2 linked regions of the Caenorhabditis elegans genome follow. The protein of the gene in region 2 interacts with the protein of the main gene of each other region in a pairwise test. Each region holds a gene or a part of one and is shown on either strand. Other genes may lie near its edges.

Region 1 (5,159 bases), on a different chromosome or scaffold from region 2:
TTAAAAAGTCAAATCATTTGACACATAAGCTTCTTCTTTAGAAATCAGTTTTTATCTCATTCATTTTCAAATTCAGGAAAAATTTGAACAGAGTTGGAAGTTTTTTATAGTCTAATTTTGCTAACAAAAATTCAAAATACCTTACAACCAACTATAGTGATTATAGTGATTAGAAAATGATTAGAAAAATGGTGAACAGGTTTAATTTTTTGATATGTATTCACTTTGTTCGTTTCATTTTCTTGTAAAAACAGATACTAAAATGTAATTTTATACGTTCAAGTTCCTCATTTTAGATTCCTTCTACCGAACACGGATCCTACATTGCTGGAGCAATTTCTCCTCGTGGCGATTTCAAGTCACAAACCCGACACTTTTACAGTTATTGAATAGTTTAACCTAATAGTTTAATCTAATCAGAAAATAACTCAACAAAAGAATCTCTAAATGTTTCTAATTCCATTGTTCTCTTTGTTTTTACTCAGTTGTAACTTCTTGTTTCACTTCCCGCAAATTTGATGGCATGCTTCACAGAATATATATATAACGAGTCTTTATTTTCAATTAGATTCAATTGTGGCTTTTGTACAATATCAAATAGTTTCCATTAATAACAAAACATTCTCAAAAGTTTGTAAAATACTGAATTAATAAAACGTTGATGGTTGTGCTGATCGTTGATGGTTTTTCCATGTAGATTCGAATATAGGACAACTAAATGTACAAATCGCATTATAAGTGGACAACAGTGGCACCTCGATTGTTCACTGTCATCGGAGGATTTAGTTCATCAAAACACGTTTTTGAACAATATGCTTTCTCGTCTAAAGAGGCGAATTGTGCTTTCTGAAATTATTCGATCACTGGATTTAGTCATATGGATAACAAATTTGTTGTTTTTCCTATGCACCTTACATTTAACAATAATACTCGATGGTTTTGTAAGACATCAAAAGTAACCAAAACTGAAAGTTCAATAGAAATTGCTAATTTAAAAACAAGCTTGAGAAAAGTTTAAAAAACAAACGCGGCTAAAATTTATATACCACATTGTTTCAATATATTTTTGCATCTTAATACATACCTGAGAAAGCTAAATCATACCAAAATTTCTCCAGAGAAGATTTTTAAAAACTTTTTAAAAAATTTTTAGTACAAGTATCTGCGCGAAAACTGTAAAACAGTCAAAACAAAAAATCTAGCCCTGATCAGCTTTCAAATTTGGAAACAGGCTAACTTCACCTTTTCAAAAAGTATTTTTCTCATGTATATATTTTTTAGGCATGAAACTATCGATATGTATGTGAGTTGACTGTCATCTGTAGGTCTTGCTTCAAAAGCTATTTTTGTACATGATGTGCAATACATATCAAAAAAGTTAGAAATTGATCTATTATTTAGCATTGGAGACTAAAACGCCCGAGCATAATTTCAGATTAAAAAGGATTAAAAAGGCATTTGTTTTTCATCACGTTTGTTTAATTTTCAAAAAATTTTAATTTGCGGTCAAATAAGGTTTTCTAATTATAGTTTCCAATTTTTTGTTTTTCACTTTTCACTTTTTATATTGAAGTTTTCAATTTAAAGCGTCCCCACATCATCCGCATTTGACGACCCATGTTTAATGAGTGAGCTAGCTTAACATACCTTTTGCTCCAACATTCCACATGTTGAACAAAGCTTCAGACCAGCTCTCTTTTTCTGTAATCATGTTTCTCAATCTAATTCATAATTACTTTTTCTACCTTTTCAACAAATCTGTCTCCAAAGATAACAGAGGTTCCGCTTGGTTTCCACTGTTGTAGAATGTACCTATCAAAGTCTAAAAGAACCCAAGTACGATTGTCTGCAAAACAGTTTGAACGTTATTTTTTTACTTGTCATACCTGATGCGACTTGTCATACCTGATGCGAAGGTTTGAAAAAGGACAACTCTCTCATCGGGTTCCCATTCTGGGTCTGTCTCAAAACGAATCGATTTTTTCTTCAACTTCTCATTTTCCCATCTCTGTTGCAAGTTTACAACAACTTTGATAAACATGGTATAGGCCGGCAGTTGCGCTGAATAATTGTTTGTTTCAAAACAGAAAACGTGATCAGGTTATCAATAAATTAAATCATATGTGGGAGAGAAAAGAGACAAAAGGTCATACCAATGGTCAGCTGAATAGTCTTGGGTGTAAGATTTCCATGTATAATGTTGAACGAGCGGTCCAAGTTGGGAGATATTTTGGTTGTCGATATGCTTTTAGGATTGGAAATCATTTGAATCAATGTATTCTTCTCTCTTATGACATGGAAAATTGCAGTTAGATACTGAAAATCAAAAAATATACTTTTCGCCACAATTCACAAAAGTACCTCAAAGGCATCTTCAAATTGACTATTTCGTTCCGCCAATTTCTGATGAATTTTGATGAATGCGTCATCGCAACTGAACAGTACTTCATCGTTTTGTTGAACGTAATTGATTACGTATCCTCGAATCGAAATGACAAGCCGTGACCACCAGAGACGGTCGAGAGAAGAGAACATCTAAAAAAAAGTTTAGTGAACAAAATGTCCTTAGGAAGTCCTTAGGATAAGAATACTCATCTAAAAGTTTTTTTTAAGTTATAAAACAAAAATGTGCGGAATATTTGTGTATTTTTACGTTTAGGAAATAATCATATCTAGGCCTAAAAAGTGAAAATTAAAATTTATCACATTTATTTTAAATAAAGAAATGAATGAAACTCTGATTTTTTTAATGAAAGCATATAATATACAAATACCGGAAAAAAGAAGCTTATAACTCACCTGTTTGAATACATCCTCGCTGATTTCCGATTTTGGTGAAAAAGTAAGATTGAGAATATCCACCTTGGGAAATAATTCCTTGTCATCCATTGACACAGGTAGAGTCATGATGTTTTCGAAAACTTGTATGAAATTTCCTATAGAAGTGAGGTAGATAGATAGATTACCTTGACAGAGAAAAGAGGCGGGAAGGAAAAGTCAAATAAAAAAAAGGAGGGACCGAATAAATAATCAAATAGTGATGTCCTCACTAAAAAGAGACCCCCAACTGTCTCGTTACCCCTACGACTCCAAGTCTTATAGAAAACAGGTTTTTATGAGGAGACTGCCGGCTGTTTGACTGCTTGGACTAACCGCCTACACTGACCAATTGTAGAATCCGCAATGTGTTCTTTTATTCTATTAAACAATTTGCCTCCTCAACAATTTGGGCGTATCCATCTCAATGTCCTTCTCGTTTTTCCCTCGTTTTCCAGAATGTTTGCCTTCTTTCTCACAGTCAGTCTATATTTTTCTTTCACCGTCTCCACTTGGGTTTTGTGATACAAAAGCAGTTAATACTGACTTACCTAATGTTCTCTGCAAATAGAAAGTGAAGAGGAGATGGACATATTTGCAGAAGTGAACATTTTTACCGATCTAAAACTAGTTTTGCTTTCTTTTCTATTTCATACAAAGTGGTCTAAAAAATGTTTTTTTTAATTGGCGGACAAGGCAAAAATCAGTTTTTTTTTATGGAGGGATTTTATCAGTAACTAGACTTTCAAAATGTTTGTTTAAATTTCATCCACCAAAAAAGGTTTGCATTCTGTTTTTTAACTTTAGTCATATGTTTTTGAAGTATCCGCAGAGGTGCCTATTTAAAATTTTTGCTCTGAAATTCCAGCAAAAATTCCATATTCAACACCTATCTAAAACAATTTTCAGTGCGTATATGTGCTTTCACTACTCGACGAAGCTCAAAGAATTGCTAAAAATCAGTGCATAATTTTGATAGTCTGAATATTACTTTGAAGTCTTTATGGGTAATGTTTTTGGGAAAACAATGTGAAATTTTCAAATAGAATTGAGTGGAAAATAATAAGATTTTTAAAATATTTGATAATTTTTAAACTTTCAAACGTTTTTTAACCAGCAAAAACCAGATTTTGAATCAGTTTGTTGAGCCTAAAAAGCAACATGAAAATGCTCTAAAAACTATTTCAGATCAAAAGTTGAAGAGTTGAGAATGGAGGTTTGCCACTTAAGATTGTTTTAAGTAAGTATTTTCAAATGGCACATTAAAATTAAATGTTTCAAGGTTTAATAAAAAGTCCATTACATGTATTTATAAATATTTTTCTCTGGAAGTCGTCTTAATGCAAAAAAACAAATATTTTGCTTAATGCTCCGTTGGTTCAATTAATTTATAAAAAAAATGTATTTATTTTTAGTTCAAATAATGTTTTTTTTTTGATAATAAGATAAAACAAAAAAATTTCAGAGTAATATAAATTTTTTGGCTATATTTTTTTTCTGAAAAGTCAAATACGTAATATTAAAGAATTTTATTTATTTGTTAATTACAAATAGTTCGGGCAGATACGTACTGCAAGTATGACTTCAGACCTGTTTGAAGATTGGGGGATCTTTTGACGTGGTGCTCAATAACAAATCAAGTACCCAAGATGACATGGAAACAAATTGGGGGAAACAATGAAATCATAATAAATATTATTCAGAAGCAGATAACAATTTGAGTACAGACAAGAAATGTAACAAAATGTAGTGGGTGACAATCCATAGGAAGAATGTGTGAGAATGAAATAACCAGTATGTAAACGTAGAGGGGATTGAAAATGAAACGGTTATTCAAAAAAAAGTTAAAAAATGGATAAAAATGACGTCCAGGAATGTACAATGAGAGGACGGAGCCAATACACGTAATGCGCGTAATAAAGACATCCCCAGAACACCTGGGCAAACATCATCTCATAGTTGTTTGGAATCACTTTTGTCTTATCTCCGGGAAAATGACCCGTTTTGTAGAACTCCGCAAGAAGCTTGTCCTGAAAAATTAAAATAGTTTTTATTAATAATGAAGTTTTTGTTTTCTACCAATGTTATTTCGTTCGCAAAAATATTCGTTTAACTTATGTCACTGTATCATCACTGTATCTAATAAACTTATTTTTAAACCACTAACACACACAAATTGCCAAAATTCAAGAGTTCAACCTGTCAACTTTGTACCGCCAAAAAAAATTGAAAAATATTCAAGATTTTTTAGTGATTATCCTAATACTTTTGATCTAATCGAGTGGGATTAATTAGACTAGATTCATATTTTTTCAATCACTTTCCTCAAACATGTCCAAAAA
Region 2 (4,822 bases):
GATCACAGTTGAAAGCTGTATTTGGATCGAGCGTTTGCAGTTCTAGTTTCATATCATCAACATACTTCTTTGCCGCTTCTTCTGTCTTTTCTTTATTTGCGAAACTAGCTTTGGTCACAAAAGTAGTGATATGACGAGATACCAAACCATTTGACTTCTTCCATTTTGCGAGCCAATCGTCTGAAGCCTTGAAATCGTCAATGTGCACAAACTCTTCATTTAGATCAACTGCCATTCGTCGAAGTGTGAGCTTGTCGATTTGAACTTCTAAAAAATAAAGCATGCAAATTTAATTTGCAATCAAACACTCACTTGCTTCCATTGTCTCAAAAACTTTTGCTCTCAAAAGTTCTGACAGTTTTGCGAAGCTGGAAGCTCGAGAACAATTGACTTTTTCTAAAACAAATAAATAGTTGTGCACCGAGAATATGGAAAAAGAAAACTGACGATTTCTAGCGAACTTTCGGAGCTTCTTCATATCCTTTTCTGACTTGATAAAACGGTAACGATGCTGTACACTGGACATTGTGAGGAACTTGTTATGTTTTGTATCCATCATAAATTCAATAGCCTTTTCAACCTGTATTGATAACAGTATTACAATTCAAAACATACACATAAGTTGGTAGCATTTATAAAAATACGGTGGCTTTCGAAAACCGTAAAAACGTCTTTCTTTTACAAACTTTTTAGACATAGTTGAAAACTCACAGTCTCCACATCTACTAGATTTCCCGAGAAATTTACTTTGTCCGGAAGAGCATAAGTAGTGGGACCATCATCGTCTGCTGTCCAATTTTCATCCTCTACTATTCCACCGACAATTTCCTCTTCATCCTCACTATACACGATCAGCTCATGAGTTTTTCCATCACGCAATATTCTTCGAACACGTTCGAGAATTTTTTGTTCCTCGCGGCTCATGAAACTTGGATTATATTCATGTCCAAACTCTTCCACCAGTCCTCCAACAATAAGATCAGCACGGAACGGCATTTACCTTTAATTCAATAAGTAAAAACAACAAAAAAACGGTGAAATTACTAAAAAAAAATTCGAACAAAAACGGCGGTTTACACCAGTGGCCCTTTCCGTCGGTCACGGCCCAGTTTATCGCGAAATACGTTTTAACCATGAGTTTAATAATGAAAATAATCTTTCGGTGGGTTTTTTATAGTTATCTGAAAATCTGAGATTTCTATTTTTTTTCATGACTTTGATGATGAAAATTTTGATTTTTTTGAAATTTTTTTAATTCAAAAAATGTGAGAAAATGTGATGCAAACGTTTATAAGAAACTCAAAAAGGTGGAGAAAGTCAGTAAAAGTAATTTCAATCACACTTTTTACTGTTTTTAAAATACAGTAAAAACTTTTAAAAAAAGCTTTATAACGCAAGGGATCGAACCCACAACCTTCACCACCAGAACCCATCTCGTTACCACTCAACCAACCAACCGATGATTTGCTCACACCACGCGCCTGGTGACAACTATGGTGTCCCGGGCCGATGCCGACCGTTGATTTAGTATACAAATCAACCGATTTCAGACCGAATTTTCAAAACGTCATAACTTTGCTGAAACCCAACCTGGGCAGCTAAATTTTTTGGAGGGATCATCTGGAATACTCTTCTATTGGAATTTCAACATGAGAATCCCAAATCTAGGGACCCCCTCAAAGACTTCCCTTGTCAGTTGTGATGATTTACAAATTAAAAATAAAGGAAATTACTCAAATCATACCTCAGTTGACAGTTCTATGACTCGATTATGATCATCGATATTATTCCTGTTGGAAGCTGTTATGTCGGAATCCGAAACTGTCAAAACCGGCTTCACATCCTCAGCAATAGAACTGTTCGGCTCAGTGCAAAGACTTTTTGCTGACAAAAACAATTGACTATCTCCAAATTCACAAATAGGTTGTTCATATGAGAATCCATCAGATTGAATAGCATTGTGTGTCGAATTGGGAAAAATGGGTTGATCTGAGCAAGTATCCAGTGGTATTGGTTGGGAGTGTGGAATCATAGTTTCACTTGAACATTCAACCGGTCTGAAAAATAATGAAACTCTTAAGTACATAACTTCGACGGTGATTCGGATTATTGAAATTTTGAATATATTCATGCTAATAAATCCGTTTTTTAAAAAAGAAATTGAAGTTATGATAATTCGATCTGCAGCGATCTCTGAACGGGCAGAATTCTCGTCACAGAAAAATTCTTACGTGAGCCGTCTTCTCTTCGTTAATTTTGAAACTGCAGGCTCTACTTTGACAGTTTCCTTGAGACTACTCAGAGTACTCAAACGTCTCGAGCTTCTTCTCTTTCCTTCCTGATATGGAACAATGGAACTAGCTGCTTCAGAAAGTGCTCGATAAAATGACGATTCGACCTCCTGGCAGTTGGGGGTCAAGGTGGTACAGTCATTGGAGGAATCGTCGAATAATTCATAACCTTCATAATTCGAATCGATTTCGGAAATCATTTCTGTCATGTTCATCGTGAAATCTCGATTCAATGCATGTTGTGGTTTGATGGGAGTTGAAAAGCGGGGAACACCAACATTTGCGAGAGTTGTGCTCAAAAGAATCGGAGGTTTATTAGAATTGGCAACCGTTTGTACCATTTCTTCGAGCAAATCTTTAATCACGTCGTCCTTCGAAGTTTCGGATTGATGAGAGTTCTCCAGGAATTCATCAGTTTTATCGTCATCCGATAGTATCTCTGAGAGCTTCTCAGCCAAATTCAATGTGAAATTTTTACTGGAATTATTATTTGAATGGCCGATAGCAGGAGTTGAAAATCGAGGAAGCTTGTTAGTGGCCAGAGTTGTACTTAGTGGTACAACTGGTTCGATTGTACTTTCTTCAGAATGTGTAGAGCTTTCGGGTCTAGGATTTGTGCAGACGGAGCCCTCCATGATCCAAACTTTAGAGCAGCCGACGTTGTTCTGAAATTGATAAACACCATATTCAGATTCAAGTATCACCAGAGATGAAATTTCATCATCGAACTAACCAAAAGAGATTCCAACACAACTCCTTGCTGCTGAAGTCCTTCTATGGTTTTTCCATAAATGTTCACTTGAATATAACTGTTCCAATCATCACAAGTCATCTGGAAAATATAAAATGACAATGAAACACTTTTAAAACTGCATTTTTAAAAGGAAATTTAAAACGAACACAGTGAATGTATCGCAATAATAAAGGCATCCACAAGAGAAGTAAGAATTTTGAATTTCAAGTTTTTTTTTTAACTTTGTTTAGATGTTGAATAGAAAATTTCACAAAGCTAATAAAATTTAAATTTACAAAACAAAAACAATTTTAAAAAAACTTAAAAAGAGCGATGAAAATTTGAGTGTTTTGAAGAAAGGACTGGTCGTCGCGAGACCCCAGCCAAATGTGTGATGCGCCTTTAATGCATACGGTAGTTGAAAAAATTTTCTGTATTGTTTAGCAATCGTGCTTCTTTTGTAAGCAGCATGTTGCACTTGCACTTAGAAAAAAGAAAGCTCAATTTGTTTCCAAATATTAATAAATCACAATTACTGCCATAGCAATCTCCTTGATTTAATTATGGATTTGTTTTTTGTTACGATAAAAACAACCGCACCATTCTTTGTCTAATCCAGTCATAATCTACAACGCATCCAAATCCGAATTTGCCAACCAATTCAAACATCTTCAAACTTCACACTGTGAAGGCATGACATCTCACAAAACTAAATAGAGAGAAAACTTCAATGTACTTGATAAGTTAATCCTTTAATGACTTTTAACGGCTTTTGCCTTTTTTCCAATATCTTCACCAAACAAGATATTTTTAACTGGTTTTTGTCAGTCTCTTATCATTGCATCAGTTGCCTGTGAGAAAGATCATTCGGTCAAATTGTTCCCTTTTCATAATTTAATTTCAATTTATTTCCATCGGTCCCTTGGCCATCATAAACCATGAAAGACTAAACTCCACGTCGTTAAATTCAAAACATCATGAAGAAGTTGGTCGAATTGTTGTGACTGTTAATTAATTTCAAAGATTATAATATAGAGTCTGTGAGTATTGTATTGTAGATGATTGAAAATGGACTGTATTCACCAAAAAGGAAGAATTGCCCACGCCCACTTTTCGAAATCTCTTTTTTCCGTTTTTCGAACAAAAATTATAATTTTTTTTTGTTGTTTTTCTTCGGTTCAATTTAAACCATCAAAACAAAAAAATAAAACTGAAAAAACATAAATATTTGCCGAGAAATAGAAAAAAATTTATATATTTTTCAAGTTCAGATGAAGAATTTTAAAAAAGTTTTAGAATCTTTTTTATTTGCGCCTCATTGTCTATCATTTCAAACCAAGTTTCCAAAAAAATAGGACGCTACCATTCAAAAATTTAGATAAACATAAATCACTTAAAATTGTATTTCAGTACGACTCAGTACGACCAAAAAACAATTTTACATACATAAAATATCCACCAAAAATTCTAAAAATGTTGTTTATTGGTAACTCAGTTGTTTTCACATTCAGAACACATTTTGATGATCTCATTCAAAAACTGGTTTGTATTAAAACGTACTTTTTTTTTAATCTGGCGGGCGAACCTTTCTGTATTTGTAAATAAATTTTTTCAGCGAACGATTTTTTAAATTCACTGGCGCTAAATTTAATATTCAACCAAGCAAATATTTTTGTGAGCCACATTTTGAAAAAAAAAGTTTTGACTTTAAAATACATAAAAAACACAAAACGGTGTCAGAAAGCCTATAAAATCAATTTTGTCTAAAATGATTTAGGAATTTCTTGAAATTTTCTGT

What was found.
Region 1: the proteins of zim-1 (region 2) and C01C10.2 interact in a two-hybrid assay, tested with the Caenorhabditis elegans proteins (one large-scale study listed by BioGRID).

The regions. Positions count from the first base shown.
Region 1 is NC_003284.9:7,435,065-7,440,223, forward strand, and holds C01C10.2 (MYM-type domain-containing protein), read right to left. Parts: upstream 3,055-5,159; 5' UTR 2,908-3,054; coding exon 2,800-2,907; intron 2,536-2,799; coding exon 2,362-2,535; intron 2,317-2,361; coding exon 2,154-2,316; intron 2,062-2,153; coding exon 1,906-2,061; coding exon of another isoform or gene 1,874-1,905; exon of another isoform or gene 1,847-1,873; coding exon 1,746-1,846; intron 1,702-1,745; coding exon 1,648-1,701; intron 847-1,647; coding exon 733-846; 3' UTR 538-732; downstream 1-537. Other genes in the region: clc-5 (Clc-like protein 5), read left to right, coding at 297-389; Putative 1-acyl-sn-glycerol-3-phosphate acyltransferase acl-12, read right to left, coding at 4,662-4,847.
Region 2 is NC_003282.8:10,545,389-10,550,210, reverse strand, and holds the start of zim-1 (C2H2-type domain-containing protein), read right to left. Parts: upstream 3,126-4,822; 5' UTR 3,124-3,125; coding exon 3,025-3,123; intron 2,957-3,024; coding exon 2,232-2,956; intron 2,058-2,231; coding exon 1,745-2,057; intron 997-1,744; coding exon of another isoform or gene 710-996; intron 1-709.